Oryzias latipes: one gene and its partners. The protein of the gene in region 4 purifies or fractionates together with the protein of the main gene of each other region. This does not show direct contact. Links are inferred from orthologs where the notes say so. Each region holds a gene or a part of one and is shown on either strand. Other genes may lie near its edges.

Region 1 (8,042 bases), on a different chromosome or scaffold from region 4:
ATGTAAATTAAATTAAAAAATAGAGTTTCAATAGTGTCTCTAATTAATCAGGATGCCGTTTCTATGAGAACATATAATAAATGACTAACTCACTTTGAGTTGACCTGGCAAACTTCTGGTAAACCCAGATCAAATTATGTCTAAACTTTGGCCCATCAAAAGCAAATCACAGCTGGTGATATTAGTCCAGAGTGAGAGTTTAAATTACTTTTGCTTACCTTCAACTGTCCTAAAAGATAGGAATTTTTACATGTGCTCTCATGTAATCTACAAACCTCATGTGACGACTTTTTGATGTGAACACCAGATTTACCATCAGTTTTTTCTCCTGCACAACAACAGCTGGGTTAAAGGCGAAGCAGCGGAGGTGTGGTCACCTGGTGACTGCTAAAAGCATAAACAAGTTCCTCCTCAAACCAGGTCTTTGAAGGGACTGTGGTTTAAAAATGTGATGCTTCCATTTTCCAGACTTTTCATTGAACCCTCATGTTTTAAAATGTGCTGCTACTCCAACAAGGAAAAGGGGATTCTGGGCATTTCCCCGGGTCTTTTGTCTCAATTTTTGATCCCATAAATCAAGCTGAGGTGGAGGTAAACAGAGGCTTTTGTGGTTTTCAGCACATTAACATTCCGCTCAGAGTGACCCTGAAGCTCAGCTCACACCACAACACTGTTTACGTCTGTCGTTTTATTTGCATGAAGGTCACCGGGAAAGATGAAGAGCACACTCGGTGAGATGGCAACACATGCTTACTATTCCAAGTGTGAGCTGGCTCCTCACTCTTCCTCACTCTCTCGGACTGTCAATCTAAAATGTAATCCCTCCTTTTCTTCTTCCCCTTTACACAGCTTGGGCAGCAACACGGTGTTGGGCGTTAAACTCGCTCAGCCAGCACAGATAGTTAAAGACAATAATGACTTGATGGATGGATGCGTTTTATTATGTGCGCGGGATGCAGCTCATCTTGTATCCAGCCATCATGCCATGATCCCCCCACAGAGAGCTAATAGACCCTCCCCGGTTCCTGTCTTTTTCTCAGAGGAAGGAGACGAGCGGCACGAGTCACTGAGAACATCAACCTGCGCGCTAATTATCTCATCCTGAGCTAATTAAGAAAACTCCCTGACAGGCTGAGCTGTCATGCCGACAATACAATCTCAATTGTGTTCAGACCAAACCAAAACTCAGTTAATTCATCAGATATATCTGAGTTCTCGAGCTTTTTACCTGACTCTGCATCAAATTTGATGACTTTTTTTTTCTCGCTTTTATTTGCATTTTTAGGAGTTCTAGAGGGATACCTGGAACCGGACAGAGTGTGCAGGTCAGCAAGGCCAATTTTCATGCTTTCAAGTATTCTTCTTTTGACATTCACATAACATTTAGCATTAAATCTAAAGCACTTGTTTTGCATTGCCTTGGTCTTTAGTCAATTTATAGTTTAAAAAGGAGATTTGGACAATGTTTGCAGTCATTTTAAGGGTTTAAGAGTTATTTATTTTTGTTTCGCTTAGATTATTTAAATTAATTAGTAACTTTTTTTTAGCTTTTACCGCTTTTTTCTGTCTGTCGTTTCAGCTAATACAGCCGGCAGCTTTTTATTTTTATCATCTGACAGTTGTTTTAGCATTTAAAGCATCCAATTTAACATCCGTTGTGGCATTTGTAGTTTTAGTTGAGAATAATTCAGTTTCTTTTCAATTCTCTGACACTTTCTTCACCTGATTTGAAGACGTTTGATGTAAATTTAGCAGCTGCAGCCTTTGAATTAGTGTTTTAAGAAAAGTTGTTCATTATTTTTACCCATCAGGCTTTGCACTTTTAGAACCAATTAACATATTTTAGATGGTTTTTAAGTTCTGAAAACTTCATTCAGTTCCTTTCAACACTTTGCATTTCATGTATAAATTGCAACATTTCTGTCTATATATCTGTATCTCTCTATATACATATATATTAGTATTTGTCTTAATTCTTTTCAGCTGAAACAGATTTTTAAAAACTCTGCGTTTTCTTCTGAGTTTCTTTTGACCAGAGTTTTATGAAATGATGTGATAGTTTGCCTAAGATCTGCTCTAAAGGTCCCACAGCAATGTAGTAAATACTTAGATTAAACTTAAAAGACACAAAGTAAACTTCAGGATTAATGTAAATGTACATATTCAACGCTGCACCAGCCTGAAAACCCTCAGGACCTCACCTGTCCCCGTACAGCAGCGGCTTGGTTAGGCACTGTGTGCACGCCTCATGGAACCACTGACCACAGCTGCCACACTGCACCATTTTCAGGTTCCACCTGCAGAGATGTGAAGCAGCACGTCAAACAACGATGAGTAAAAGCATTAAAGACCCACAACAATCATCTTGTGATCTATTGCAGAAGCATTCCCGTAATACCGTTTTTAACCAAAATCAAAAAACGGTTGTTTTCAAGGACATTGTTTCTGCAGATCGCAGAGTAGTTCATTAGAAAAATTTGCCTCAAAGTTGCCCTTCCTGTCACCCAACCGAGCTATCGGTTTACATTCTTCCGCTGGCTTACAGCCCCCCACATCCCTGACCTAACATTACAGCTGCATCCAGCTGTACAGTTTAGAGCCAGATGCCGGCTCGGAAAAGGAAAACAAAGACGTACATGGATCTACTTGTCTGCAAGTGGAGGCATCAGAATGGAGCGGAGCAGGGAGCTTGTGACCCGCCCAGCGTATTTTCTACATCACAAATGCAATTTTTTCAAACGGTATTTTAATGTCTACTCCTAATTCACAACTATTTGCATAAAATAATACTCAGAAATGCAGCTTTAAGCTGAATTTTCTTTATACTTGTCCTGCATCATAAGAAATATGGAACTAGAACATGTTAAAAAAACAAAAAAAAAAACAATGTGATTTTAATCGGAGTGGGTCGGATAAAGACAGACAAAGTGCTGGGCTGCTGAGGCATTTGCAGGGTCACTCACTCTCCGGGTCCGGCACAATAGCAGTAACACTGCTGCTGGTTGGTCAGATGCTGCGGGTCCCAGTCCAGAGACGACAGCTGGTACGGGAGCCGCAGCTTCATGAACTGCATGAGCCGGGCGAAGCGTCCACGCTTGAGGGCCCCGCCTCTCTGCCAACACAGGACACAGCTGATTTATTGTGGGTCAGCTTTGATGGAAGCAGACCGACAACTAAACAAATTACTTCAAAATAACTGAAGCACAAGGGATGGCCAACACTGAAGTGTGATTCTCTGAGCTGCAGGGGCAGTTTATGGGCTTCATTGCTGTCTAAAATGACCGAATGACCATTATCACCCTGATTTCTCCCATGTTACATTGCCAGTTATTCCTGTGATTGGCCACCTGACCTTGGTTGCGACTGCAAAGACACACTGCCGACATATCCAAGAATCGCTGTCAGCTTCCGGCTCGATGGTTGGCGTGTGGCACTCCAGATGATAACCTGTAACGTCAAGAGGAGGCAGAGCCTTCATTTCGGTTAGACAGTCAACCAGGAGGAGGATAATGACAGATCTGCTGTTTGTGCTTTGACAGCAGGTTTTAGAAAACACACAACTCTACCATTTGCACACGGAAAATGGCGGAAAGATTTGCCTTTTCTCCTCCAAAGCAGAGACTGTGTTCACCTGACAGATCCGTGATCAGAGGATGGAAACATTTGTTTCCATTTTCCCGCCTGCGCATCCCGCTGCTGAGTGTTTTTAAAACTTCCTTCCACCTGCACTTCAGAAATGTCGTTTTATCTTAGCGGTTTAATGGCCCGTCACTCAAAGATGTGTTTTACTCGGCTTGTGTGTGACCTTCACCGTGCAGAACAATGCCTATGCGGAGACGAGCACATTCACAGCTCCTTTTATTTCACTTTCCCACTCAATTCCTACAACCTGATGAGCACATTTGCAGCTGGCTGAGGTTTCGCCTTCAACAAAAATATTTAGAGTTTTTGTTTTCAGAACATTAATGATGCAAGGACACCAACCACACTGGAATCATTACTGACAGATTACACAAACCACATTTCCTTTTTTTTATCCAAAATTTATTCAAATTGTTGTGAATCAGGAGCAGACAAAAAAAAAAACGTTTCAAAAAGATCTAATTTCTAATGTAAATATATGCTGGGTGGGTGGGCCACATCATATATATATTGTGTATATATATACACAATGTACACAATGTACACAATATATATATATATATATATATATATAGTTTGTTTTGTATTTTTACAGTAAATAAACTGGAAAAGAAAAAAAAGAAAAAGAAAATGGAAAAGAAAACCAGGTAATATTATTGTAAACAGAAGCACATTAGAATTACTGTACTGTTGGAACATTTATATTAACTACTGCCAGCTGGATGCTAGGAATTACTTTACAGTTGTACTACTGTAAAATAAAATTCATGGTAAATCTGTGTGCTGTGATTCATTTTACTGTTTTGTCCCCTTTCAGGGTCACGGGGCTGCTGGAGCCTATCCTGGCCACTAATGAGTGAAGGGCAGCTGACAGACAGGTTGCCAGTCTGTCGCAGAACCACAGTCACACAACCATGCACACTCACATTCACACCTGAGGACAATTTAGAGTAACCAATGAACCAAGTTTTTGGATGGTGGGAGGCGTCCACAGAGAAACCCCACGTGTGCACGGGGAGAACATGCAAACTCCAAACAGAAAGGTCCCCCCATTGGTGTTCTGGTTCAGGGGATTTGAACCTGGGGCCTTCTTGCTGTAAGGGAAGAGCGCTAACCACTGTGCCACCGTGCAGCCCTACTTATTTATATTAGTGCCAGTAAGTTACTGTAAAACTTGCTGCACCTCCTTTACAGTGTGGGAAACGTTTGCGGGGGGGGGGGGGGCAGCATCACATAGATAGTCTCCCATGAAATAAGACATACAGACAAAACATTCACATCTCAGAAATATCAAATGCACTCACAGCTGCCTGGTGTAAATGTCTTTTAGGATGAAGAACATTTCTATTGTCCTCCAACAGCCAAAAACACACTTACTTACAGCATCTCTTAAATAAAGAATAATACTCCTAAGCAGCATAGAAGGGACATCAATTTCAGGCAACAGAGCCTGCTGGGGGGCTACTGACCCTCCAAAGGCCTGCTTTATTTACCTCAATACAAGACAACCTGGAATTAGGGGCTCCAAATCCTAATAAGGTCACGGTGGGACAAAACGTGATGTTCAGCACAACTGAAAACCTAAAGATTGACTTTTACACCACATTTATTACAAATATACAACATTTAAGAAAGTTATTTATCTACTTCAAAGATAAGAAAACGACGTTGAAGCAAAATATGCATATATATGATTATTATATATACATATATAAAAAAAATTCCATAACTTTTATTTAACAAGGGGATTCCCATTGATATTTAAAACCTGTGTACCTGGACAAGAATCAACAAAAAATACAATGAATGTGAATATACACAACAACTGTTGCCTAAAATACCTAATTCATACTGTAGCTTTTTATTAAAGGCAACATTAGAACATTAAGAGACTTTATTTCATCGTAATATTGATTTTGTAAAAGAAAAATTCATATTTTGGCAAAACAATTTTTAAAGAAATCATGTGACAATAGTTGTCATAAATCTAAAAATGCACTAAAAGACTATCAGCTTCACAGCAGAAAGTGAGCTTCAGAGCCTTAAAGTGGTTTAACTCCTGGTTCAACACTTTATGCTGCTGTCCGTTTTCTGAGCAGGAAGGCACATTTTCTAAAATTTTGGATTTTTTGATTCTACTTGACCGATGATTCGAACCCACGGTACCCGATCTCAGGGTGGACACACTCCCAGCAGACCGTTGAGCTGGTCACTTAAGTTAAAAGCTACAGTTTTCAATGCAAAGTTCACATAAAAAAAGCCAAATGTTGAGTTTTATTTGAAAAAGTTGTGAATTTCATGATAATTGAATAAGATTGTTCAGGTTTGTACCAATAGTGTGTGTGCACCAGCAATTAAAAACTCTGCTAAGCATAACACAGACTATGAAACTGTCATGTTTTAGAGGCAAGTTTTTTTGTTTACTTTATTGTTTTTATTTAAAAGTAGATTTTATGCTTCCAAAGAGAAACAGCTTTCTGCTTTTTTATGCTTCATTTGCAGAAAACAGTTACCTCTTTAGAAGTCCCGCCTCAAGATGCTTAGAAAGAGATGATTGACAGATCCAGATCAGATCAGTCTAATAGTTTCTTAAATAATGTCTACCCTTTTTTTTTTACAGAAAATTGTTGTCAACTTAATTTATTTGGAAATAATTAGTTCTTAATCTTCATGTTCTCCAGTTGCTCCGATATTTCGTTTTGACCCTTCAAATCTAGAGTCTGATAGAAATGGAAAGAACCAAAGATCTGTCATTGATTCTTGAACATTTTTAACTGATCGGATTCAGAATGTTAAAGCTTTTCTGCATCACCCTCTGTGACTAACCCTCAAGGTCACTGCGAGAACCCATGAGAGTTGAGGAGGAACTTTTCCTTACCGTGGCGGCATTTAAGACAATTTATGAGCGGTTCTTTGAGAGGCGGGGCATCACAAACGCAGCAAACTTCTTCCCCTCCGGCAGCGACTGAAGCAAACAGAGAAAGAGAGACGTCAGCTAACAGCTGTCCAAGACTTTTGCTATAGAAGCTCCTCTGATCTCTGTGCGAACGCCAAAGACTCTTAAATTCATTTTCTGATAGAAGAAACAAAACAACAAAAACAGAAAAGAAGTTCTCCTTACAGGAGTGGATGTCCTTCCTGAGCACCCAGAACTCAGAGTTGTCCTCAAACCTCACCAGACAGCACTGCTTGACTCCATCCACCTGAGAGCAAGAGAGCAGGTTATCAGGGTGGCGGAAACTCTTCCAAATGTTCCTCCCACACCCTCCCCCCTCCAAACACCTACTCTTTTCACGTTTCCGAGGTACAGGAGTCCATCACTCCATCGTGCCAACACATCATCTCCCTCACTGACTCCCCCCATCCTGAGGAGAGACACAGAGGAGAAGGAGAGCAGGGCTCATGTGCAATTGAGATCTGATTTATTTGCTGACAGCGAAGGAGGGGGATTTATGGCCCCCGCTGAGGCTTTATTGCAAGAAAAAAAAAGTGGGAGGGGGCAAAAAAAATCCTCCTCTTTTAATGGATGAGCATGGCGACAGGCTGTATCCGCCACAGTGAGAGATGAGAGTACACAAGCAGAGAGCAAGACAAATGATCAGTGCAAACATCAAACACACACATGGAGACGGAAAACACTGCATGATGGCTGCTGCAACACCATCTGACTCAACTCCAACTAAACTTGCGTGAAACGACTCTGCAGGCGTGATCTCTGCTCACTGAGCATCTGTTCCAGTGCATGCACTCAATTACAGGCGGATGACAGGGATGCGGAGCCCGCAGGCGGCGCGCGCCTCGCGGCCGCTCAGGTACCTGTCCGCGCGAACTCCTTCCCGTCGGGGGTCACAAAGATTCCTGCAGGCGCATCCACCGAGGCTCCCCACCGCGCTGCCCAATTACAGCCCGCACCGCCGCGCCGCGTGCGTGTTCGCCAAAAGTGGAGGGCGTGCGTGCATGCTCCCGTCTGTGCGGCGCCGGTGTGCTTGTCAGTCAAGTCTTCAGCAAGCAGGAGGAGGGGGAGGAGGAGGAGGAGGAGGAGGAGGAGTGCGCCGACAGTCCGTCCGTCTCTCAGTCTAGTTTGTCCGTCCTCCTCGGTGCCGTTTCGTCATGTTCCGTCGCTGTTGCCCACCCCCTTCCCACCCCCCTACCCCTGATGCTGAAGGCGTGCTTGTCAGAGCTGCGCCAGAGACGCCATAACCGCACGCGCAACGCCGACTTGTTGTGACGCAGACATAAAACACGAGGATAAAGGGGGGGGGGGGGTGTTGACAGGGGTAAGGAGGTAGGAAGGCGGGGGGGGGGGTCGATACTGTCTGTGAGATTGACCCCCAATCAGGGAGACACTGTGGGAATGTGGTGGCGCGCGCGCAACGATAGCGACCAATTAGGGAGGCAAT
Region 2 (6,820 bases), on a different chromosome or scaffold from region 4:
GTTTCATGGTGACCATGACCCTCTGCCCTGATCCTAACCCTCCTTAACAACTAACTAAACTAACCGACTTAACTACCTTACTAAACAAAACAACTGACTAATGAAACAAACTTTTCAGAAAACAACTTACTTAACTAAACAAAAAACTATCTTTCTGACTAACCATTTAGGTAGCTAACCAGATAGATAACTATCCAAACTTTTATAACTAACCCACTAACTTAGGCTAACTTACTAAATATCTAAACAACTAAAAGTAAGCAAAGTAACCAAGTAATTTCAAATTGTAACTTATCAACTACTTACTAATCTAACTAACTAACCATGTCAAACTAACTAAACTTACTGAACAAACACGTAACCTTGCTGAATAAACTAACTAAACATGCTAACTAAACTACACAACTAACTAAACAAATAAGTAAATATCCTGCTTAATAATTACCCAACTACCGTAAGTAACTAACCAAACTAACTTAACCGTGTTGTTCACGTCTGCAAAGAACTTTGGCTCAGATGTTTTAAAATGCTCACATTAATAAAGCTGGATTGAATGCTTCTAACAGGCTTTTATTTTGAAAGCTTTTCAGTGATTTGTTATTCCATGCTGAGCCCAATAATTGACTTTAAATTCTGTGGTTCCTCTGGGTCTAAAGTGATTCCCGAGTTCTGTGACCCGTCACAGTTCTGACAGAACTTCAGAATTCTGAAGCCACTTCCTCTGTTCTTCTACTAAATCCAAAGCTTTCAAAATGAGATCCAGTGGAAAACGTCCGACCACCACGCAATATTTTATGACAACAGAACGTTTGGCTTTCATCCACATGAGCTCATTTCCAAAGCATCTCAGAAACGTTGGATAAGAGCACGGTTACCATGGTTACTATGGAGCAGCATCTCCTTTTCTTTTGAAGCGCTTTGATTTGGAAATCCGCGTTTTGAATTTTGGTGTTGGAATAAAGGTCTCCAGCTGGTGGTGCTCATCTTTGACCTGTCCAGGATGAGCCCTGCCTTTGCTCAACGGTGGCTGGGCTCCGGCAAAGTACAATTGATGGATGGACGAACAGATGGATGGATGGACAGACGATACCATCAAAACAACACCTCTCTTTTCCAAGCACAGGCTTTGCCATAGAAACATGACGCCAGGCCTGAGCGACAAAACACTGTTGAAGGAACTGACGTTTTGTAACCATGGCGACACGTCTTCAGCCCCAAACTCCTCCGTGAGACGATGAGTACAACGGGCCAAGTTCTGACAGGCCATCTCCGCATGAAAAGAATCAGAAATCGGAGGATTCTTCTCTCCTCCCCTAGTTGCCTTACCAATCACATTCATCCAGCCCAGGTGCTGACACCTGGACAGGTGTTTAACCAGCTGCTCCATGAGGACAGGACGTCCTGATGCCGACACACCTGAGGTGGAGACACAAAGCCACACCTGTGGGCACAGCAGGAGCGGTGAAAAGACAGGGGGCAGGACAACAGAACAGGGCAGCACACACGCCTGACATGTCGCAGATGACGGACGATCACGCCACCGTCATCCGTGACATGCCGGAAACACACTCGCGCATTCTGCCGACCCGAACCCGGACGGCTGGTGACTCACGGCGGATGGAAACTGCGTCCCGGCTGCGGGGGTCTCACATTCTCTGTAGGCCCCGTCTGTCTGCGCAGACCCTCCGTGTGGCAGGAGCACACATGAACTGACTCTTCTTCATGTGCTGTTTAACACCTTAATGGGATTAACAGATTATCACCTGTTGCACTCTCACTGACTCACACTCACACACACACACACATACTTGTCATGCACTTTCCAGGACCTGCACCCCCCGGGCTCCTGAAGGTCCGACCTGGACCCTAAAAGTGGGTCCAGATCCTCTGAGGTCTTCAGTCTGGCCGACACCAGACTGACTCATTCTCACAGAAACACAAACACAGAGGTCAAAGGTCAGATTTTTTGTTTTTTTTAATTCCAAAACGCTGGCTGGTCAGCTGCTCGTACAAGAGATAAACATGCAGTCATGTGATCACAACAACCATTCAAACAGGCCAATGGGAGAAGAGCATGGTTACCATGGCAGCGGGAGGAGCTGCAGCATTAAAGTGACACGGTGAACGTTTAAGTCTCAGAGACTGTTAGCACTGTTAGCACTTCTCATTCAGAACAAAGGGCTGCGTTAGCTTGGAGCTAAGCTTCTGGTGTTTGCATAGATAATGGATGTGTGTGCAGTGCAGGAGGCTGGGGGGGGGTCACACAGTGGAACCGGCTGGCTTGCTGGGCGGGAACCCGCCGAACCAAACCCAGACGGGTTCCGGTCCGAACCCTGAACCCTGACGCCGCAGACAAACAATGGGCTCTCTGTTCAAACGTGACAGAACTGAACCGAGAGGTCCAGAACTGGAGGGAGAACGGGGGGGGGGGGGGGGGGGCTCAGTTTGCTGTTTGACAGCTTAGGGTAAGGGGGGGTGCAACACTAGCTACAGTAAAAGCAACAGTTTAACAGGCCGCTAACGGAAAACGACCGAACTTCAGTTCCCGATAACACTAACACCGTCAACAGGAAGACGCACGCTTGGCCTCCGACTGCTTCTTTGGCTGAACGATGACGGAGGCTTCCACTAAATACTGTTTTCACGGTTCCAGAGCAGCTTTGATGCCGTCTTCATCCACACCAGCCTGAGAGCCACACGGGAATGCAGGTGTGTGTGTGTGTTTGTGTGTGCTAGCTCCTGATATTTCTGCAGCAAAACTTCTCTAAGTTCAGGTTTGCCGGACTTTCAGTTGGATCAATAGAAAGACAGACAGGCTGCTGGCACAGATACACCTGTCACCCCTGAGATGATTGACAGGCAGCTGAGCAGGGCTGGCGGGGATGCGGAGGAACCAAAGGCTCTACGAGGTGAGGGGGTCAAGTCCTAAAAGGGTGTAGTTCCCTCCCACTCCAGAAGGTACTGGACCATCCCCTGAGGAGTGACACGGCGAGCCAGCACCTGGTACCTCTCCCCACTGCTCAGTCTGCCAAAGTACGAGGAGATGGAGGAATGAAGGAGGGAGGAGTCTGACGCGATGTGGGCGGGGTCAGACAGAAAGTGCGGCAGCTCCGTGTTCAGGCGAGCGTCAGGAGCAGCAGCTCGCTCCTCGGCTGTCTCGGCGGGCTCCTCGTCCACCTCACTGCGATTGGCCCACTGGCTGTAGCTGTTGCTAGGTAACTTTCTCTTCTTGCTGCCCACTCTGCTCCTGAGAACAGGGAGAGCAGGTCAGTCAGGGGCTTCCTCCATCAGGTCTGAGAGCTTTGATGGAAAGCGTCTTACTTGAGGCGGTAGGAGGCACTGGTGGTGGCAGAACCCGAGGTGGACGCGTCGGTAGAATCCTGGTCGATGCTGACGGTTCTGTTGGAGCTGCTGGAGAAGAACGGAAGCAATCGCACGGGATCTGCACCTCAGGGGTCACCCATCACCTGTCCTTCTACTCAACTCACCTCTTCAGGCTCTGGAGTTCATCTAAAGTGAAGTCAAAGATGTTGGCCATGTGGTGGTTGGAGGTCCAGCTGCAGGACAACTCGTTCTGCAGAAGGTCAGGGGGGAACAGCGACACTCAAGCACAAAGACTCTCCTTTAAGGGTTTAGAGAAAGAGGCGGCTTACATTAGGGATAGCATCCTCCAGAAGCCACTTGGATTTTCTCCTCTTCCTTTCAGCTGAACTACTGAAGCAAAAACACAAAAACACAAAGATGGATTTCCACGACCCCCAAGCATCCCAAAAACGATTCCAGGTAGCTTGAAAGTTAAAAAAAAAAAATCTACCTGACCGAGGTCGTCTTCCGGCCCCGCCCCCCGTCATGCAGAGCATGCTCGGGTAAGAGTTTGGAGGGGGGGTTGGGCGGGACTCGGGTCCTCAAACGAAAGATGCACTTCCTCTTCTTGATTTCTTTCCCACATAGGAACCTGAGGACACGCATGTAGATACTTACTGGATCGGCAGACGCACAGATGAACTGTCAGGAAGGCGGGGTCGGTACTTACTTGCTCTTGTAGTTATTGAGAGCATCCAGCAGGTGCTGCCCCCTGTCTGCAGGAGGAGTGTTAGACAGCTGAAGAAATAAGAAGAGAGCTGACAACCAACACCACAACTCAAAGCAGGATCACATCAGAATCAGAATCAGAATCAGATTCTGGTTCAGCTCAGCGTCTCTTCGGTTCCTCTGCTGTTTACCTTTCCGAGCTGCAAGTGGTCCCAGTTGGTCGATACGAAGGCCAGAATCTCATCAAGCTCAAAGTACTTCTTCTTGCTGCTGACTGACAGGTTGTAGAGAACCAGGTGAACCACATCCACCCACCTGAGGGGCAAACGGCGGATGTACTCGCAGCCCTTGTTACACACCGCACACAGGAAGAGGTAGAACCTGGAAGGACAGCAGACCCTTAGCATGAACACAGAGGAGGACGGAGCAGGGGGGGGGGGCAGGAAGGATCACCTGTCTCCAAACATCATGGACTCCTGAAGACACTGAGTACAGGCCTCGTGGAACCACTGCTGACACCTGAAACACTGCAGCATCTTCAGGTACCACCTGCACACGCACACACGTCAGTCAGACAACACCTGGCACTCACAACACGCCGGTCTCTCGGGCGGTCGGCCTTACTCTCCAGGGCCTCCGCAGTAACAGTAACACTGCTGCTGATTGGTCCGATGCTGAGAGTCCCAGTCCAAGGAATCCAGCTTGTAGGACAGGACCTGCTTCATGGCACACAGAGCTTTGGCTATCGGCCCCTTCTTCAGAGCGCCCCCTTTCTGCGAGGACGACAGGGAACGGGTCAGGGACAACGGAGAGGGGGATTGTGGGAACATGCTGATGCAGCACTGGGAAGAGGCGTTACCCGAACAGCCAGAGCAAAGACGCAACGTCTGCAGAACCAAGGGCTCAGGCTGCTGCCCTCTACTGGAGGAATGTGACACAGCTGGTGGAAGCCTGGCAAACACAGAGACAGGCGATTTTATGACCAGGTTAACTGGATCAACATGGGATCATGTGATACTACTCCCCAAAGTGAAGCCAACACAAGACGTTTCTCAAATGACTACCAGGTCTATTAAAGCAAGCAATTTCCCACTGACTCCCATGTCAGCATGAATGATGTGAAGCAGGTAAACCAGAGCATCGCCTCCTTCAGGTGTGTTCACCTGCACAGACTCGCACTGATGTTGTGGGCTGGCGCAGAGACCTACACTAACTTTAGGATTTGGCGAGAGCGCCCACCGAACACGTCGCCCCCTTCTACAGATGTGAAGGTGTGAACTCAGACAACGCCATGCTCACCGATGCCGCACTTCCCACAAATCAGGATTTGGTTGTTGACCTTAGGCTGGCCGTCAGAGTCTGGCTCCGCCCTGCGACACACAGAGCAGCGAGGCTCCTCCCCTGGCACTCCAGCTGAAACGTGATCAGGCAGAAGCACGTGACATAACAACTCAGGGCATCACACATGTCAGCATGAAGGATCTTCTCCTGTCTGTGACTGATTAAAAACGGAAAGAGAAGCTCCACGAGGAACTTGATGTTTCCTTGGCAACCATCTTCTAGGACACCTGAAAACGACTGACGTCCTCACACCCTGCTGGAGCAGAGATTCATTTGAAAGCTTAAACAGTGTGTATCGATTACAGAAATATTCAAACTGATGGCTGCTCCAGCAACAGACAGTTAAGTGAGCGTTCAGGAATGCTTCAACAGTTGATGTCAGGACTGAAAGCTAGTTCCATCTGAACTAAAGTACGGTGGCCCTGAAGTCGACGAATCGCGTCATCCAATCCACGCAAACACATTTTAAAGATCGCAACCACAATTAAAAAGAAAATAATAATAATTTTAACTGTGTTACATTTTGAAAATCTAAACATAATTTCAGAAACCAAAACACAAATAAAAAACAAAAACAAAAGGAAGCATTCAAAATGACTTTTACTGGTATGTTTGTTTAACCAGCCCTGTTAGTGCTGTTACTGCCGTGTTACTGCAGTGTTACAGTCACTGTTTGGAAGCAAAGCTCAAGTATGTTATTAAAAGTTTGAAAACTCTTCCTGTGTACCATCTTTCTTTGGAAATATATCACGTGCTGAAACTTTCCAGCATTACTTTTTTTCTTTCTGACGGTGGTCTGAAAATGCAGGGAGATCCTCTCCGCTGAAGGCGGATCTTCCTTCGGGGTTCACTTCCCTGTTCGGACCTTCAGAGCCTCCAGAGCGGGTTAATAAAGAATCATTCACCATTCTTCTGGAGGGGAATCTTCTGTTATTACAGTTTTCCTTCACTCTGTATATCAAACATGAACGCACACCCCCAACACACTTCTGCTGCACGCGCTCCCCCCTCTTTCTTACACACGCGTGTGGTTTCAGCACACAAACATCCTCATTCTACAACACATGTTTCAATGTGGCCACATGCGGCTTATAGACAGGTGTGGCTTATGTATGTACAAAATGTTCTATCCTTTAAAAATGTAATGGTGCTTATAACCAGGTGCGCTCTATAGTCCAGAAATTAAGGTATACAGGTGTTGTAGAATGAGTGTGTGTGTGTGTGTCAGCGCGCTGCGTGTGTAAGAGGAAGGAGCGGAGCAGCAAAAGAGTGAGTGAGAGTGCACAAGCGTGTTGGGGGTGTGCGCGCGTTCATGCTTGGTGTTAGGAGTGAAGGAGAACAGTAATGAAAGGTTTCCCCCAGAAGAACGGTGACTGATTCTTTATTAACCTGCTCTGGAGTACAGCTGTGACAGTGAGGGATTTTGATCACCGCCGTGATGAAGCAG
Region 3 (6,987 bases), on a different chromosome or scaffold from region 4:
CAGCATCACCCGAAAATACTGCTGTTCAGTCCTTCTGCTGGCAAACACCTCACCACCACGGAGTCAAATGTGCAGAAGAAACTGTGACCAGAGGGTACGGGACTATGGTTTGGTTTGACTAAATAAAATGACATTTTGGTTCCTTAAAGTCAGACGTTATTCCATTTCAATCTAAATAGTTGGTAGAAAAACGTCTGGGAGGAAATGAAATGTCTGAAGGCTGAGAAACAGTCAAAGAACGGGGTCCAAAACCAAAAAAAGAGGCTGATATGCATAAGTCAGTCATAATAGAGGAGTCTAAAACAACATCTGCAGCAGAACTCTGAGGTCATGCAAGGTTCCCTCTGGAAAAAAGCTGACAGACCTGAGAGGGAGGACAGGATTTCTCTGAGTTTGGGGGCTTCATCCGTTTATGAGAGGAAGAGTGCAAAACCTAAACTCCCCTCTGAAACGGATCAACGGGCAGCAGACTGCTTTTGGTCCGGACCAGCATCCATGTGACTGACAGGTCACCGAAAGCGCTCCGGTTCCTCACAGGAGGAACGTTCATCTGTGGGCTTTTCAGAAAGACGAGACCACGAACGCCGTCTGAACGCCATCAGCAGCGGCGTCCTTCCGTTCCGTGAACAAGTCCAGCTTCATGAACGGACTAGGAGGCGGTGACTCCTTCCCACTCCACCAAATACTGCACCTTTCCATCGAAGGTGACCCGTCGGGCGATCACTTTGTACTTTTCCCCACAAGCCAGCCGTCCTGCTGCTCCAAAGTAGCTGCTGATGGAGCTCCTGAGGTGGGACAGCTGACTGTCGGGATCCAGTCCGTGGACTATGTTGGAGGAGTGGAGCCCGGGAAGATGGAGCCTCTCCGAGGCTGGGGGGTTGGCGTCTGCGGGGCCGGGAGGGGGGATCTCCGGGTGGGGAGGCTGCAGAGCTCGCCGTGGCCGCCCACGTTTCCGTTTTAGAGGAGGAGAAGACGCAGGCATGCCATAGGCCGGTCTGTGCATCAGGGAGCTGCAGAGGCTGCGTGACAGAAGCAGGTGTGCGTCAACGCGGTGCGCGATGAGCTCGCCAACAGCTGAGGAAACGCAGAGCGCTGCACCACACGTACCTGGACTGCCTGGAAATGCTGGTTGAGGTAGTTTCCGACACGCTGAGGTCTCCAATGGACTCCACTTCCAAGGTTTGGGATGAAAGCTGACTTTTTCTGATGATAAACACACCATTAAAAAAAACACTTAATAAAATGTAAAACGCTACAATAAGGTAGTTTGGAAGTACAAAGCACACCAACAAATCAAGAGCAGGAACAAAGTTTTCATTTCTACTCTGTACGGACGTATTCAGACTAGGAAGACCGTTTGGTCTGGACCCGGTCCGCTTCGTTTGGTCCAGATCCCTGCGTTTGGTCCGTATCAAGCAGACTTTCCTGTTCCAGACAAAAGCTTTCGAACAAAACCATGTGACCAAAGATCTCTTCTGTCATTGGTCAGGAAATATGAGGGCGGGGCAAAGCAACTAGAGGCAAAAAATAATTGCTATTTCTGAGACCTGTTTGCATCTAGAAAATGGAGCTTCTTGAAACAATGCAGTGACTTTCTTTGTAGTCCTGCAAATAAATGTGGAACTGCAGCTGTTTCAGATGAACTGTTTATCATCGTTATATTCATCCATTCATCTTCTTCCATTTAGTCCCTTTCGGGGTCACGGGGCTGCTGGAGCCTATCCCGGCCACTTACGGATGAAGGCAGGGGACACCCTGGACAGGTCTCCAGTCAGTCGCAGCGTTGTTATATTGTTCATTTTTTATTTCTATGCATGTTTTAACTGTATTTTCGTCTTGCCATGATGACTTTCGGGTCTCCCTAGAAAAGTTTTGTCGTGAAAACCAGCGTGGCGATGCGTGAACGAGAGTTTGGAAATGCCTCAAATGTGCGTTTCCGTGATCTTTTCATTGAGCTGGTCGCTCACACGCACGTTTCCGTGCCCGCGGTGAACGCAGCGTTCAGCACAGTCCTGACTGCCTTCGTGCAGATCCTTACCTGACGGAGGGGAACTGCTGCAAAGGGTGGGGCTCCAGGGGGAGGGGGCCTCTGGTTTCCTGTCAAAGTGCAGTGAAAGGGTTAAACAGGCAGGTGAACCAGTCAACTCGTCTCGGCACCAATCAATCCAGCGGCATGCTTATACACCTGGCTCAGGCGCTCACTGAAGCGTTGGGATGGAGTCTCCAGGAAGGACGCTCCCTGCTTCCTCTTCCTCTTCTTCTTCGTCTTCTTCGTTTTGGTGCCGTTGGTTAAAGTACCGAGACTTCTGAAGTGACAGCAGTACAGAGTTTAAGCACTATTCTGCTCTAAATGATTCTCATCAACAGGTCGATGAGGGACGAATCCGTCCTGCCTTCCATCTGACTGCACCAAAGCAGGCGCTCCCGGCTGCCTGCAGTTCCCTGCAGAGCCTCAGAGGGGCGCCGCATCTTACCCCATTCCTGACAGGGTGGTGGTGGGCTTGCAGCCCTTCACGGCGATCTCATGTGAAGTCTTGTCCATCAGTCCGTTCGCTGGCTCGTTGCTGTGGGGGGGGGAGGGCGGGAAACACACCCGCAGGCTGAACAAGTGCTTCTTCTTTTTCACTTCTTTTCCAGACTTGAATCTAGATCAGAAATGTGAGACAAAGTAAGGCGTAAAAGGGGGAGCGCCTAAACACAGCCAGCCCCCTACCCCGTCTGCTCAACCGAGGTCTGTGAAGTGCAATCAATCAATCAATCGATCGATCTGTCATTGATCCCACGGCTGAGATACTGCAAAGTTCAAAAGAACAGATAATAAACAGCAAACCCAGGATTGTGAGCCAGAACTGTTCAACAGGAATCAGCTCAATGGCCTGCACAGTGGTGTAGTGGTCAACACTCCCACCTCACAGTGAACTCCTGGTTCAAATCCCAGCTGGGTCCTTTCTGTGAGGTCTGCATGTTCTCCTCGAGCATGGGTTGGGTTTTCTCCCAAAGTCCAAAAAAATGCTTCATAGGTTAAATGGTGACTCTAAACGGGATCCTTCTGACGGAAACAACCTGCATCCATTTATGCACCAACATGAGCACTGATGGGACAAAGAGGGACGGATTTTCCTCCAAGGAACATCTAATCTTCACTTGTGGAGCTCATTTTGTGTTCTGGTTCAGTGCTGAGAAAAACACACAAACAGGCTCACACACGGGACCAGGACCCCACCGGGACCCAGACCCAACTGGGACTCAACTAGGACCCCACCAGGACCACCGACCCAACCGGGACCCGGACCCAACCAGGACCCCACAAGGACCCCCACCGGGACCCGGACCCAACCAGGACCCCACAAGGACCCGGACCCAACCCGGACCCAACCAGGACCCCACAAGGACCCGGACCCAACCCGGAGCCCACAAGGTCCCCACCGGGACCCGGACACAAACAGGACCCCACAAGGACCCCACCGGGACCCGGACCCAACCCGGACCCGGACCCAACGGGGACCTGGACCAACTAGGACTCAACCAGGACCCCACAAGGACCCCACCGTACCCAACCAGGACCCGGACCCAACCGGGACCCAACCAGGACCAAGACCCAACCAGGAACCCACCACGACCCCACCGGAACTGAAGGACTTACATGCAGCTGTTGCTGTTTAAAGCCTTCAGAACATTCTCACAGCGTTCGGCGATCGGCGTATCGGCGAGCTGTGAGACAAAAACAGGATTTTAGCAAACATCCGGGTTAACCATCTGGCTTATAAGCAGCAGTTCTTTCATATATGTGTAAAATCTGCTCTCTAACATGCAGCCAATCCTACTTTAGCATCTTTCTGCTATGAAAAGCTCCGTGCAGAATAAAGCCTCACCTCTCCCGGCTGCAGCAGCTCCCAGTTGTCGTTGATGTACTCCAACAAGTGATTTTCAGAGTCAAAGTACTTCTTCTTGTGAATCACACTCATGTTGTACAAACTCAGGTGAGCCACATCCTTCCTGAAACATTTCCATAGAAACTTCTATTACAAATTAAATTACAACTACATTATTGAAGAAACTCAGGGAAACTGCCTTAATATGGCTGATTATCAGAGTTTACCACAGAAACAGAAAAAAATCAAATCACAACAGTCACAGACTCTGCAGGTTTTCCCTCAAAGGATGAGTTTGGTCTGAAATGTCAATCACAGAAACGCTCCCACTCTTAAAATGTAAAAAAAGAAATAAAACTGATTGATTTTTAATGAACTTATTTGTATAATAAAGCAGAACAGAAGTATTTATCTTAATTCTGTTTCTTCTTCTGTGAGAAGCTCTTCTATCCTCCACTGTTTACCTGCATCAATGTCACCTGTTCAAACTCCTTATCAGAATCAGACGCCTGTCCACAGCCTAAACCAGTCAGAGTGTAACCCTCCACCATGACCAAGACCAAAGAGCTGTCAGAGAACACCAGGGAAAGACTTTAGGGTACCATGCTCTTTTGTTTCATGCTAAGTGGGCCAGATGACTGACCCGGGTTAAGGAAAGACTGAATGAGGTCATGGAGGATGAAGCCTGTCTGGGTCTTCCAGCAGGAAATAACCCCAAACACACGGCCCGGGCAGTGAAGGAGCGGCTACATAGAAAGCATCTCAAGGTTCTGGAGAGTTCTAGCCAGTCTCTGGACTTCAGTCCAAAAGAGGAACCGTGGAGGGAGTTCCAATTCATGTTGCCTAGCAACAGCCTACAAAAGATCTGCAAGACAGGACGGGGTTTGCAGAATCAGAGTTTGCGTCGCTGTATGCTGGCATTCATTTTAGGCGGGATAACTGATTACTGGGCAAAAGACTGAGATGGTGATTTGATTTCAATGCTCTTCTAACTGCCAGGTTTAACCGAATAATGATGGAACTTTATGAAAATCCCACATTTTAAACAGAATAGGCAATTTTATTCTGAAAATATTAGAATCCGTTGTTCAAAAGACAACCGATGGATGGATGTGACGAATCAATGCCGCACTTTCCAAGTAAATCTGAAACCAAGAAAAGGGGTCAATAAGGTCGTGGAGGTGGGCGGAGTTAAGTGCTCCCAAAAGGAAATCAGTGTTTTTAATCCCAGCAACTAAAAACATGCAGACAGATTTGTTACTGCAGAGTTTGAGGACGAACACCCCCTCCCTCAATGAGGACGCGTGACGGCTTCCGGACAAACTCACCAGCTGAGCGGCAGCCGGCTCACAAACTCTGGTCCACCGTTGCAGACTGAACAGATGAACAAATAAAACCTGGAGGGAAAAAGAACCAAACAAACAGCATTACGGTAGTTGGCATGAAAATGTTTTCTAAAAAAAGTCAAGTTTTCTTTATTAAAAAAAAACAGTTCAAATGTTTTTATGTGGCATGTCAACAGACTGCTTTGGTTAACTAGTACATGCTTCATTAAAACCCCTTGTGCTGTCTTGTGGGGTCCAGATGACCTCCGAGGGACTTTAACATTGGGAGTTGGGTCATCTGGACCCCACCAGGCTGAACCTTTTTTCTTCAATGATTTGTGATCTTCACTGGTGTCCATGGATTACATGAAATCTTTCCACCTTTATCCACCTTTGTCATGGTAGCGAGAACATGTCAATGTAAGGGTGGGGTCATTTGGACCCCACAAGATAGCACAAGGGTTAAAAAGACAAAATTAACATTTGCATATGAAAAAATGTACACAAAAGAAAATATTCCTGTGAGTAGAAGAAGAAGAGAGAATGCTTGGAGTGTGCAAAGCAGTAATCAAAGCAAAAGGTGGCTACTATGAAGAACCTACAATATGACATATTTTCAGTTGTTTCACACTTTTTTCTTTTGTATATTATTCCACATGTGTTCATTCATAGTTTTGATGCCTACTGTGTGACTCTACAATTTTCATAGTCATAAAAATAAAGAAAACTCTTTGAATGAGAAGGTGTGTCCAAACTTTTGGTCTGTACTGTATATGAATATCAAGTTGTTGTATATTGACGTTAGTTATAAAGAACTGTATTACCCAGCATGCATGAATACCCAGCATGCTAGGCGAGTAGTCACATGTTGGTGCACAGTGCAGAGCTAGGAAGCTGATTAGAGACGGATTGCTTTGCACAGTGTAGTAGTTGGAAAGAGACTGTTCAATAGAAAGTCTGAAGAACACGGCTACAGCGCCTCTCTTTGCTGACTGAACGAGGCGAGCTAAATGAGCTAGATACCTACTAAACGTAACTTTACATAGTGTTAGACAAAAAGCCTTAGATCCAGATTTCCCGTATTGGTTCGGGTAATGCTGTTGCGTCATTTCTTGTGTATGTAGTGTGAGCCCTGTCGGCCACCGTATTATTGTAATCAGATTACTGTATTTTCCCCAAGTACAAGTTGCACTGGAGTGTAAGTCACAGGGTCAAATAAAAGATAGTAAGGAAAATAAACATATTCGAGCCGATCCGGAGTATAAATCACGAGAAATGCTGCGCTCACACCCAGCGTGATCGGGTTTGATTCGCATCAAATGCGAGTTTGCTGCCTTTTTCTACGCACGTCAAGTCACCTATGCTGCCGTCCAAAAACGCGTTCATAAACCAGACAGTCCCGCCACATGTGGGAGAAGCTACTGTCGAGTTTTTAGCCTCATAGCAACATGGACGCATCGACTGAATGTCTCGTTTACACACGGGTGACATCCAGAGATCACTTAAGGTGAAGAGCCACGTCTCCATGTCTGAATTCATGACTTCTTTCCATCTTTAACTTCTGCCGAGTCATAGCAATTCCAGCCGTTCCTCCGTGTTTCTCTAACCTGGTTTGATGACTTGCCGTCCCAAACGAGTTCGTGGAGGGAAAAATAAAAACTCACTTAACAGCATTTGATGCAAAAGTAAAGTTCAGGAGAACGATCAGATTGATTTTGATTGATGGTGTTGGACGGCGCTTCTTCTGTAGTAAATACTGACAATACTGAGTTTGATTAGGACTTCTGCGG
Region 4 (8,713 bases):
TCTGCTGTTGTGTCCCCGCAGTCCCGTTGGTTTGCAGATCCCTGCCGGACATCTACGTGGAAAAGCTGCTGGGATTTTTGGCCACATGTTTGGAAAAGTCCAGCCATTTGCAGTTTTACATGACCTGGGCCCAAAACCTACTCATGCTGCACGGACAGAAACTGAAGAATCGGTAGGTAACTTTGGGCCTAGTCACAGAACACTTCAGTGCGGCTAGCTAGTTAGCTCTGGTTCAGAGGTGTGCTAAGGACTGTAGAGCAGTATGGTTGTGACGCAGTATAGACGAAGGTCACATTAGCAACCTTACGATTGCTAGTTGACAAGGTCATGGTCTGTAATCCTTACGCCATCATATCTGAACGTCTGTGGGACCCACAAGCGAAACAAAGATCCTTCAATGTTCTTTTAACGGCGAAGCTTTAGCATCACATTCTTTCATCTGTTGTAACTCTTCAACGTTTTTTTTACGGTTTTATTACAAAAAGAAAAGCAGCTTTTCTCTTAGTTAGCCGATTTACGTTGATTGCGGAAATGGTTGAAGAGTGAAGGCCGTGTCACACAGCTACGACGTACGTATGTTTTGCGCATATTGTATGGATGAAAAGTCGTTATAGGTGGAAAAAGTGAGTTTTGGTCTATCCGTGAAATTTTCACAGATGTATCACGAATGAACCACATTAAAACTACAAAAGAAGTATGAATAAACCACGCTAAGAGCACATCAGTGTAGAACATGAACCGTGCATGATTAATGTGCTGTTTATATGCAACTCATTAGTGATTTGTGCATCAAGTACCTAATTTTTGTTCATACATGCGCCATAAATGCGATATAAAAGCTATACATCGGTGGTACACACGTAAAAAGTCCGTTGTAGATAGCCACGAATTTTCATATGCGTCTCACAAAAATCACGCACAATAGCCTAAGTTTTACATAAAAGTTGCATGTAAACTACGTAAAATACGCCATAACTGCGTATTTCTCAACTGGCCAAAAATTCTGAACAGCTTTAAACCAAATTCACGGACAGACCTGTCAGCAAAAACCCTCAACGGACATCTGAGCACATCGACAAATGACAAAGGCAAGAAAAAATTACGAATTCGGCATATCACGAAACACTCAAATTTTATCCTTGGAAAATTCGCAAAATGTATATAGTGGCTGTGTGTCGCGGGAGGTCTAATGCGACGTTCACACCGGACTTCAAAACACGCATTCCAGGAACCGCTTCCAATAAAAAGTCTATATAAATGCACGTTTTGGGCTTCCAAATTCAAAACTGTTGCGTTCATGCGTCTGTTTTTGGGCTCTACAGGACTCAGATTTGGTAGTGACTAATGTGTAGTACCAACAGTTACCCACAGGTCAGCGCGTTCTTCACACATGGCTGGTGTGTGTACATAGCTTGAATTGCGTGTTAAGTATGTGTCGCCGGCGACAACTCCAGCGTCAACGGGTTATGGTCAAGAACACGGGTTCTACACCACTGATGCTACAGGACAACAAAGTTGCTTGATTTAAAAAAATAAAAAACGAATTGATTAAAACCTTTGATCTGAATCATTTAAACTTAACCGATGTAGAAATATAACTCGGTAGAAAAGTTCAATTATCAAGATACATTTTCTGTTTGGTTTGCAGGTCGGGCTCCATTCTGGCCACGCTGCAGTCACTGCAGAAGAGCATTCAGAGGCACTTTGACAATCTGTCCAAACTGTAAGTCTCTCTTCAGCTTCACAGCCTCATTCAAAACTATGATGGCCCCCCTTTTTTTTTTAAGTGTCGATTCTCCTTCCAGGTGCGACTTCAACATGTACAGCATCCGCTACGCTGCTGCCTTGTCCAAACAGAGAGGGATGAAGAGGCCAGCGGCACAGGAGGACGAGGAAGATGAAGGACCGTCAGAGGAGATGAGCCAAGCCTCTTTGGATGACGATGACATGAGGCTTTAGCCGCTTGAAAGTCTCTTAGAAGCAACATTTTATAATAATAGAATCTTGTTTTGTACCTCTTTTAAAAATAAATGTATATATGTGGTGTTAAAAAGTTTGGTTTTGCTTCTCCGATCATTTTTTAAACTATTTTAACATGTTCTTAATGGTTTTTTTAGTGAAAAGTCTGCTGTTTTTAGCTAGTCGTTTTCTAGGACATAGTTTCTGGGAGAGCGGCTAGCTCACTGCCTTTTAAAATCTCCATGTTAGTGCCATTATGCGGCACGTTAACCAATCAGGGACCCAGCTTTGGGTACGTGATGTTTTCAGTGACTCTATCAGTGGATGGAAAAAAATATCTGGTTTGACTGGAGCAATCAAGCCAGCTACGCTACCGGACAGAGTAGTGACCTCCGATGCCCAGGGTCCAGCAGAGCTAGTGGAGCTCTCTATGTCACAGGACATTATTTAGGCCCTTCTGCAAATCTATTTATGCAGTTTATTATTCTGTGCTACAGGCATTGGACTGTGACTACACGATCCGACCTATCCGTTGCATTGAAGTTTTCGCATTTCCTCTGTTTAGGGGATTTTAGCCACCTCATACCTTTGACAAAGCTGTGACATCGACTCAAAGTCATTAGACTTGGCTCACAAATGACTGGTAAGTCCACTGTGCTTTGTTCCGAATTGAAATTTAAGGCTGTGTACAAATTCCTTCGCTATTCACGACTTAGTGCACTACATAGTGCGTTCGCTGCCGTTTGTACTGTCCGGATGTACAATTCCCAAATCGAGTGCCCTAGAAATCTGCCAGAAGTCTGCGAAAAACCAGTGTAGATCAATATTCACTAGATTGGCAAATATAAACATTGCATTTAATTTTTTTTGCGAAAAACAGTTTAAATGTATGTTTTTAATAAACCAACATTTTCATCATTGAACATGTGCGAAGGCTATGCGCAATTGCATGCTTTGCTGTCTTTATATTTTCTGTCACTACTACAAACTTTGTCAAATGGCAGTTTTTCGTGAGCTCCCGATTCACTATTTGAATAAAGAAATACTCAAATGCTATTTTAAACTATATTTAATTTCCTTTTTGACTACTACATTATCAGAAAAATCCTACAAAAACATGTTGAGAACAACATTTTTATCAGAGTGGGTCTTTCAAGGAAAAGAAGTGATAAGTGCGTAAATAAATTTCTGTCAAATGCTCAATATTGTGTTTTTTTTCTTTCCAAAATTTATAAGTTTTTGTCATCAAAATGCCAGCCAACTTTTATTTAGCTCATTCACGTCGTGTAAATTACGTCATTTTAAAAAACATTTTTTTGAACACAAATGTAACCATAACATTGATAAATCACAGGAAAAATTACATTTCTTTTTCTTTGTTTCCCGCTTATTGACGGGAAGGTCCATTAAAAACCCCCATTCCCAGCAGCCCTTGCGGCAGCGCACCGGAAGAGGCGGGACCCTGTGCCGAAAAATGAGGGAAAATAAGAGCATGTCCGAGTCCCCGTCGCAAGCGGCGAAAGAAACACCGGCGGCGAAAAAGCAAAAACTAAGCAGTGACGAAAACAGCAACCCCGACTTATCGGGAGACGAGAATGTGAGCAGCCGGTACCGGACTGTGTGTGTGTGGTTTTTTTTTAAAAACGACGAATGTTTAATCGCGCCGTTCACGTTAGCTTCCTGCTAAATTAGCAGCTAAAGCTAGCATCTTTGTCCGTTTTGGTTAAACACCTGTAGATGTGAAACTCCGTTGATTACAAAAAGCAGCTTCATGGTCACAAAAACAACAAACAAAACTAAAAGGTTACGTACATTTCAGCTTTGGACACGAACATGCTTTACTTTGAAATTAATTTTGTAGCTAGCTTGCCTTAGCACGAGCATCCTAGTGTTTTTCGGCCATTTTATAAAAAAAAAAGATTTCTTCAAGTAAACCTAAGTGATTTCGTCTTCAAATAAGGCTCACACAAACCGTTGTCCTAATTTTTTAGTTAGATTTGAAGTCCTCAACGTAACTAAAAGGCTAAAGCGAAAATTATTTTATATTGCTTGTATTTTTGTTGCATATTGTGTCCTATTTACATGTATTTAGAACTTTAAATCAATACAATTACCTGTAAATTTGAGAAGAGCAACGGAAATTTTGAAACAAACTGTGAAAGATGGAAAATTTTCAATTTCGTTTTGCAGCTTTTATTTTGAAAATTTTCAAATATTGTGCTTTTATTATGAAAAGTGAAATGCATGATGGAATGGATTTGTTTGAGGACTTGTATGTTTCTGAACAAAAAAAACCCTGACATTGCGTGTACAGGACGATGCCGTTAGCGTGGAAAGCGGGACGAACGCGGAGCGCCCGGACACGCCCACCAACACAACCAACGCCCCGGGCAAGAAGAGCTGGGGCAAGGGCAAGTGGAAGTCAAAGAAGTGTCGGTACTCCTTTAAATGTGTCAACAGTCTGAAGGTGAGTCCACCCCCTGCTGGCCAATCCGACGTTTGCAACGCTTTAAAAAACGAACTGACAATAAAATGGCGATTTTCCTCTGACCGAGGTTCAGGAGGATCACGGACAGCCGCTGTTTGGCGTCCAGTTCAACTGGCACAGCAAGGAAGGAGACCCACTTGTGTTTGCCACCGTTGGGAGTAACAGGGTAATTTCTCCCTCATGTTGATCCAATGTTTGTTTTAATCACGCAAATCTGTGCTAGCATTTTGAATCCAAAGATCGTAAAATTGACCGTATATTAGAACTGAACCGAGTCCATGTCCGAACAATTAACAAAAAATTATATAGTGCAGGACTGTCCAGTGCCTTGGATTTTAACGAAATCCGAACACTTGCTAGCTACTTATTAAAAAAAATTATTAAGTACGACGTCACCTATTTCCTCAAGTAAAAAACAAATAAGGATGAACGTTTTACGATTGTTCTGAAGACGAAATCATCGTCCAATGAAAAAATGTACTTTCTCAAATCCAGTTTGTGCAATTTCATAGTAAATGGAAAGGCAGCTAGTGATGTCTTATATAATATAGCAAATAATCATTACAGTTTTGTTTGAATGTTATGCCAAAGCTTGATCAGTTTTTCGGGACCCTAAAGTTGTTTGTTTGTTTTTGTGCAGGTGACTCTGTACGAGTGTCACTCTCAGGGAGAGATCCGACTCCTACAGTCCTACGTTGATGCGGACGTATCCTTCCACCTTCTGCGGTACAAACTAGTCCTTGGTGGGCTCCGGAGCTGGTCGGGGTGCGTGTTGCTGTTTTTATATGAAGCATTGTCGTTTACGACACACTTTGAAGCTTTGCGGGACTATTTTATGTCAAATGTGGCAAACAAGCATGGAGGAAGATGATCACATGCAGCATCAATGTCAGCAAGATGACCAGCCAATTCAATTACGGAAGCTCGTACCTTAAAATTGAATATTTATCTGTAGAAAAGCAACTTTTGTCACTTTCTTTTGGGACCAGCAGATGCGCTTGATGTTCTTGTTTTTTAACGCGACAGTGCCCCCTGGTGTCTGGTTCATCCTAAATATGAATTCTTGCTGTGTTTACTGATCTAGAGCCTATTTTCTGTAGTCGGTCAATGCTTTAGTTCCACTTTGGGGAACTAGGATTGTTGGGCATTATGGGTAGTGTAGTCAGGAGCCTGACGGAGTGATACGTGCACATTAAATAGACAAAGTGCACATGGATAACCACACAATTGACTAGAAAAACATCCCATCAACACCTTTGACCAATCGCCTTCTTCCTGCCCTTTCTACGCATTCTGGGTTGTGTAGTTGTGTCGTTTTTTATTCCTGACAAATGTCTTTCGTTACCTACACAAGAACCACAACTAAAATTAGAGAACATTAATGAGTTAAAGTCGTCCATTGTGATGTCATAGCACTCATGGACCACAGGGCATGGAAGCGTCCTCCACTGACATAAAACTACAAGAAAGGTTGTGGCGGTCTTACTGTTACCGAAGTTAGCCACTGTTACGTGTTAGTAAAGTATTAATAACAGATAATTACATGAATTAACCGGATGAAATACCATGGGCATGTTTTTAAATAAAACTAATACATAATTAATAACTAATTTATAATATTTCCATGTTAAAGTTTCATAAAACTATTGAGTTAATTAACTAAATTGCTGAGTCATTTTTTATCTGTTGTCGGGGTGTATCGCCCTAATCGGACCACACAGACTCTGCAATCCCATCCTAAACTGTAAGCACCTCCCAGCTCCAGAAACTTTCATTGGAATTGCAACGTTGCTATCGGTTTTCCTTGACTAACGCGCTCCCGAGGCGGACGAGAACTTCTACACGTGCGCTTGGACCTACGACACCAACACCAGCCACCCCCTCTTGGCCGTCGCCGGCTCCCGAGGCATCATCAGAGTGATCAACCACATCACAATGCAGTGCATCAAGGTAAACCCGCCCGTTACGACCGCTTAACAGGTGTTTTGGATGGAGGATTTCAGAGGTTCTGTTGGTTGACAGCATTACGTGGGCCACGGGAACGCCATCAACGAGCTCAAGTTTCACCCGAGGGACCCCAACCTCCTTCTGTCTGTCAGTAAAGGTAAGACGGTTCGTCAGGAGTTTATTGAACCAAACCCCTTCTGAGTCTTTGATGAAGGATCCTTGGGGTCCTTGATGCCAACGGGCGGGTCTCTATCTCTGCAGATCACGCTCTCCGGCTGTGGAACATCCAGACCGACACGTTGGTGGCGATCTTTGGAGGCGTGGAGGGGCATCGAGATGAAGTCCTGAGCGCCGTAAGCTTTGCTGTTTTAAAAACTCCCAGAAGAAAGCAGCAAAGGGAAAATAAAAACTGTTCTGGGATATTTATGTTATAGTTTTGTCAAACATAATCTGTTTAGAAATAAATGCAATTTTTGCTCTGTCTCCTATTAGCACTAGCAAGCCCCGCCCTTTGTGTGACTGTTTGTTACAGCGCTACCTCATGCAGCAGTACCCCATGTAAAGGAGCGTTAAAAACTGTAAAAATGAAACCAGAGCAATCGCAGCAAAATACAAATCCTAAAAAGTAAAAGGCAGAGCTTAGATCCCTGTGGTACACCATGATGTATACATTCCAAATGGCATTAAGCACTACTTATAGGACTAAACATGGTGAATTAGCTCATGACTAATCTGAGTTGTGATTAGCGCTTTTTTATATGTTGTTTATGGATTTAAACATATTTAGCTGAGTATCATCTGCAAAAAAACAAATGACATTTTTTTTCTGTGCTTCCCATTTGTGCTAGCAAGCCTCGCCTGCGCCTGTTTTGACTGTTGGTTACGGCACCACCTCGTGCAGTAAATGACCGTTAAAAACTAAAAATAAAATGAACGAGAGCAATCGATAATATACATATCCTAAAAAGTAAAAGGGCAGAGCTTAGATCCCTGTGGTACACCACGATAGACAAAGTCCAACTTGCATTAACCATTAAAAACATATGGAAGTAAGCATGGAGAGTTAGCTTATGAGTCTCTGAGACTTGCTTGTTATTAGCTGGTGGTTGTAACTCATCTTTTGGCGGCTCCTCTTAGTGGTCGCCACAGCGAATCACCTCTTTGCACAGGTAGTTTTGGCAGAGATTTCCAGACGGGCTTCCAGACACGACCCTGGATTTTATCCAGGCTGTGGACCGGCACAGGGAGACTCCTCATTGTTACATAAATTAGAAACTAGCATAAAGGGTCATTCCTAAGGACCCGCAATTGATAAAACTGTATTCATATTTATTTCTAGGTTCTAACATCATGTTAGTTTCGCATCATCTGCATAGAAATGAACAGACTTGCTGTTCCACCACCTATTGGCACTAGAAAACCTCTCACCCTGTGACTGAGCATTAAAAACTGTGAAAATCAAAGCAAAGAGAGCGAACAAATCATATAAGCAGGGGTCAGCGCATAGAGCCCTGTGGAACACCTATTTTACGTCTTAAAAAAATGAATGAAAACTTACGGGAGTTAGCATGACATTAGCTTCTACTGAGTTCTCCCTCGCAGTCTTAAAATGGTCCATAGAACTTTTCCAAGACTTAGACGTGTCACCGGGTTTAACGTGATAAGAGCTCACAGTCCAAAGCGTGGGAAAGTAGCTTCTCGCCAAAAAAAGGCAATTATCTGAGATTAGTAGACCTTTGTGTCTGGATCCGGATTATGATTTTAGAACTTTCAGAACCGTTAATCGGATTAAAAGGAGATCAGTCTGCTTTGGAAGTGAAAAAGTGCCCCCTTTTCTGCAGGATTTTGACCTTCTGGGTGAGAAGATCATGTCCTGCGGGATGGACCACTCGCTAAAGCTCTGGAGAATCAACTCGGAGAGGCTCCAGAAGGCCATCCGGGGTTCCTACGAGTACAACCCTTCAAAGACCAACAGGTGACGCTCCTCTTCATCGTCGCCGAGATGCTTTGGTCCCAGCTAAAACAAATCCCGCCCACAGGCCTTTTGTCTCCCAGAAGATCCACTTCCCGGATTTCTCCACCCGCGACATCCACAGGAACTACGTGGACTGTGTCCGGTGGTTGGGAGACCTCATTCTGTCCAAGGTTACGGTCCAAACTGCTGGTTCTGTTCACCTAATATTGTCCAAAAAATAGTTTGAAAATACCTTTTTTTTTTTCTTGCAGTCCTGCGAAAACGCTATTGTCTGCTGGAAACCGGGGAAGATGGAGGACGACATCGACCACATCAAGCCCAACGAGTCCAACGTGACCATTCTG

The links. Proteins that work in one complex are often made in the same cells at the same time.
Region 1: the proteins of eed (region 4) and PHD finger protein 1 purify together in Homo sapiens (affinity purification with mass spectrometry; 8 studies listed by BioGRID and IntAct, with this or other methods). This does not show direct contact. The link is inferred for Oryzias latipes from reciprocal best matches to the Homo sapiens genes EED and PHF1.
Region 2: the proteins of eed (region 4) and phf19 purify together in Homo sapiens (affinity purification with mass spectrometry; 8 studies listed by BioGRID and IntAct, counting the BioPlex papers as one, with this or other methods). This does not show direct contact. The link is inferred for Oryzias latipes from reciprocal best matches to the Homo sapiens genes EED and PHF19.
Region 3: the proteins of eed (region 4) and mtf2 purify together in Homo sapiens (affinity purification with mass spectrometry; 3 studies listed by BioGRID and IntAct, with this or other methods). This does not show direct contact. The link is inferred for Oryzias latipes from reciprocal best matches to the Homo sapiens genes EED and MTF2.

What each region holds. Positions count from the first base shown.
Region 1 is NC_019874.2:28,774,677-28,782,718, reverse strand, and holds part of PHD finger protein 1, read right to left. Parts: intron 7,846-8,042; exon of another isoform or gene 7,459-7,845; intron 7,008-7,458; 5' UTR 7,007-7,007; coding exon 6,929-7,006; intron 6,846-6,928; coding exon 6,764-6,845; intron 6,608-6,763; coding exon 6,521-6,607; intron 3,448-6,520; coding exon 3,353-3,447; intron 3,113-3,352; coding exon 2,964-3,112; intron 2,298-2,963; coding exon 2,202-2,297; intron 1-2,201. UniProt on the Homo sapiens protein: Polycomb group (PcG) that specifically binds histone H3 trimethylated at 'Lys-36' (H3K36me3) and recruits the PRC2 complex. Involved in DNA damage response and is recruited at double-strand breaks (DSBs).
Region 2 is NC_019867.2:31,494,216-31,501,035, reverse strand, and holds the end of phf19 (PHD finger protein 19), read right to left. Parts: intron 5,446-6,820; coding exon 5,332-5,445; intron 4,984-5,331; coding exon 4,892-4,983; intron 4,806-4,891; coding exon 4,657-4,805; intron 4,582-4,656; coding exon 4,486-4,581; intron 4,414-4,485; coding exon 4,224-4,413; intron 4,102-4,223; coding exon 4,034-4,101; intron 3,956-4,033; coding exon 3,815-3,955; intron 3,715-3,814; coding exon 3,654-3,714; intron 3,575-3,653; coding exon 3,489-3,574; intron 3,412-3,488; coding exon 3,322-3,411; intron 3,248-3,321; coding exon 2,926-3,247; 3' UTR 1,951-2,925; downstream 1-1,950. Other genes in the region: disabled homolog 2-interacting protein-like, read right to left, coding at 1,327-1,387.
Region 3 is NC_019875.2:5,988,676-5,995,662, reverse strand, and holds part of mtf2 (metal-response element-binding transcription factor 2), read right to left. Parts: intron 5,270-6,987; coding exon 5,201-5,269; intron 3,997-5,200; coding exon 3,873-3,996; intron 3,712-3,872; coding exon 3,644-3,711; intron 2,646-3,643; coding exon 2,475-2,645; intron 2,307-2,474; coding exon 2,186-2,306; intron 2,098-2,185; coding exon 2,039-2,097; intron 1,204-2,038; coding exon 1,108-1,203; intron 1,020-1,107; coding exon 650-1,019; 3' UTR 1-649. UniProt on the Homo sapiens protein: Polycomb group (PcG) protein that specifically binds histone H3 trimethylated at 'Lys-36' (H3K36me3) and recruits the PRC2 complex, thus enhancing PRC2 H3K27me3 methylation activity.
Region 4 is NC_019860.2:2,257,558-2,266,270, reverse strand, and holds the start of eed (polycomb protein EED), read left to right. Parts: upstream 1-3,406; 5' UTR 3,407-3,433; coding exon 3,434-3,556; intron 3,557-4,273; coding exon 4,274-4,426; intron 4,427-4,514; coding exon of another isoform or gene 4,515-4,520; coding exon 4,521-4,613; intron 4,614-5,087; coding exon 5,088-5,153; intron 5,154-6,271; coding exon 6,272-6,397; intron 6,398-6,469; coding exon 6,470-6,551; intron 6,552-6,655; coding exon 6,656-6,747; intron 6,748-8,235; coding exon 8,236-8,369; intron 8,370-8,433; coding exon 8,434-8,539; intron 8,540-8,620; coding exon 8,621-8,713. Other genes in the region: periodic tryptophan protein 2 homolog, read left to right, coding at 22-172, 1,649-1,723, 1,806-1,959. UniProt on the Homo sapiens protein: Polycomb group (PcG) protein. Component of the PRC2/EED-EZH2 complex, which methylates 'Lys-9' and 'Lys-27' of histone H3, leading to transcriptional repression of the affected target gene.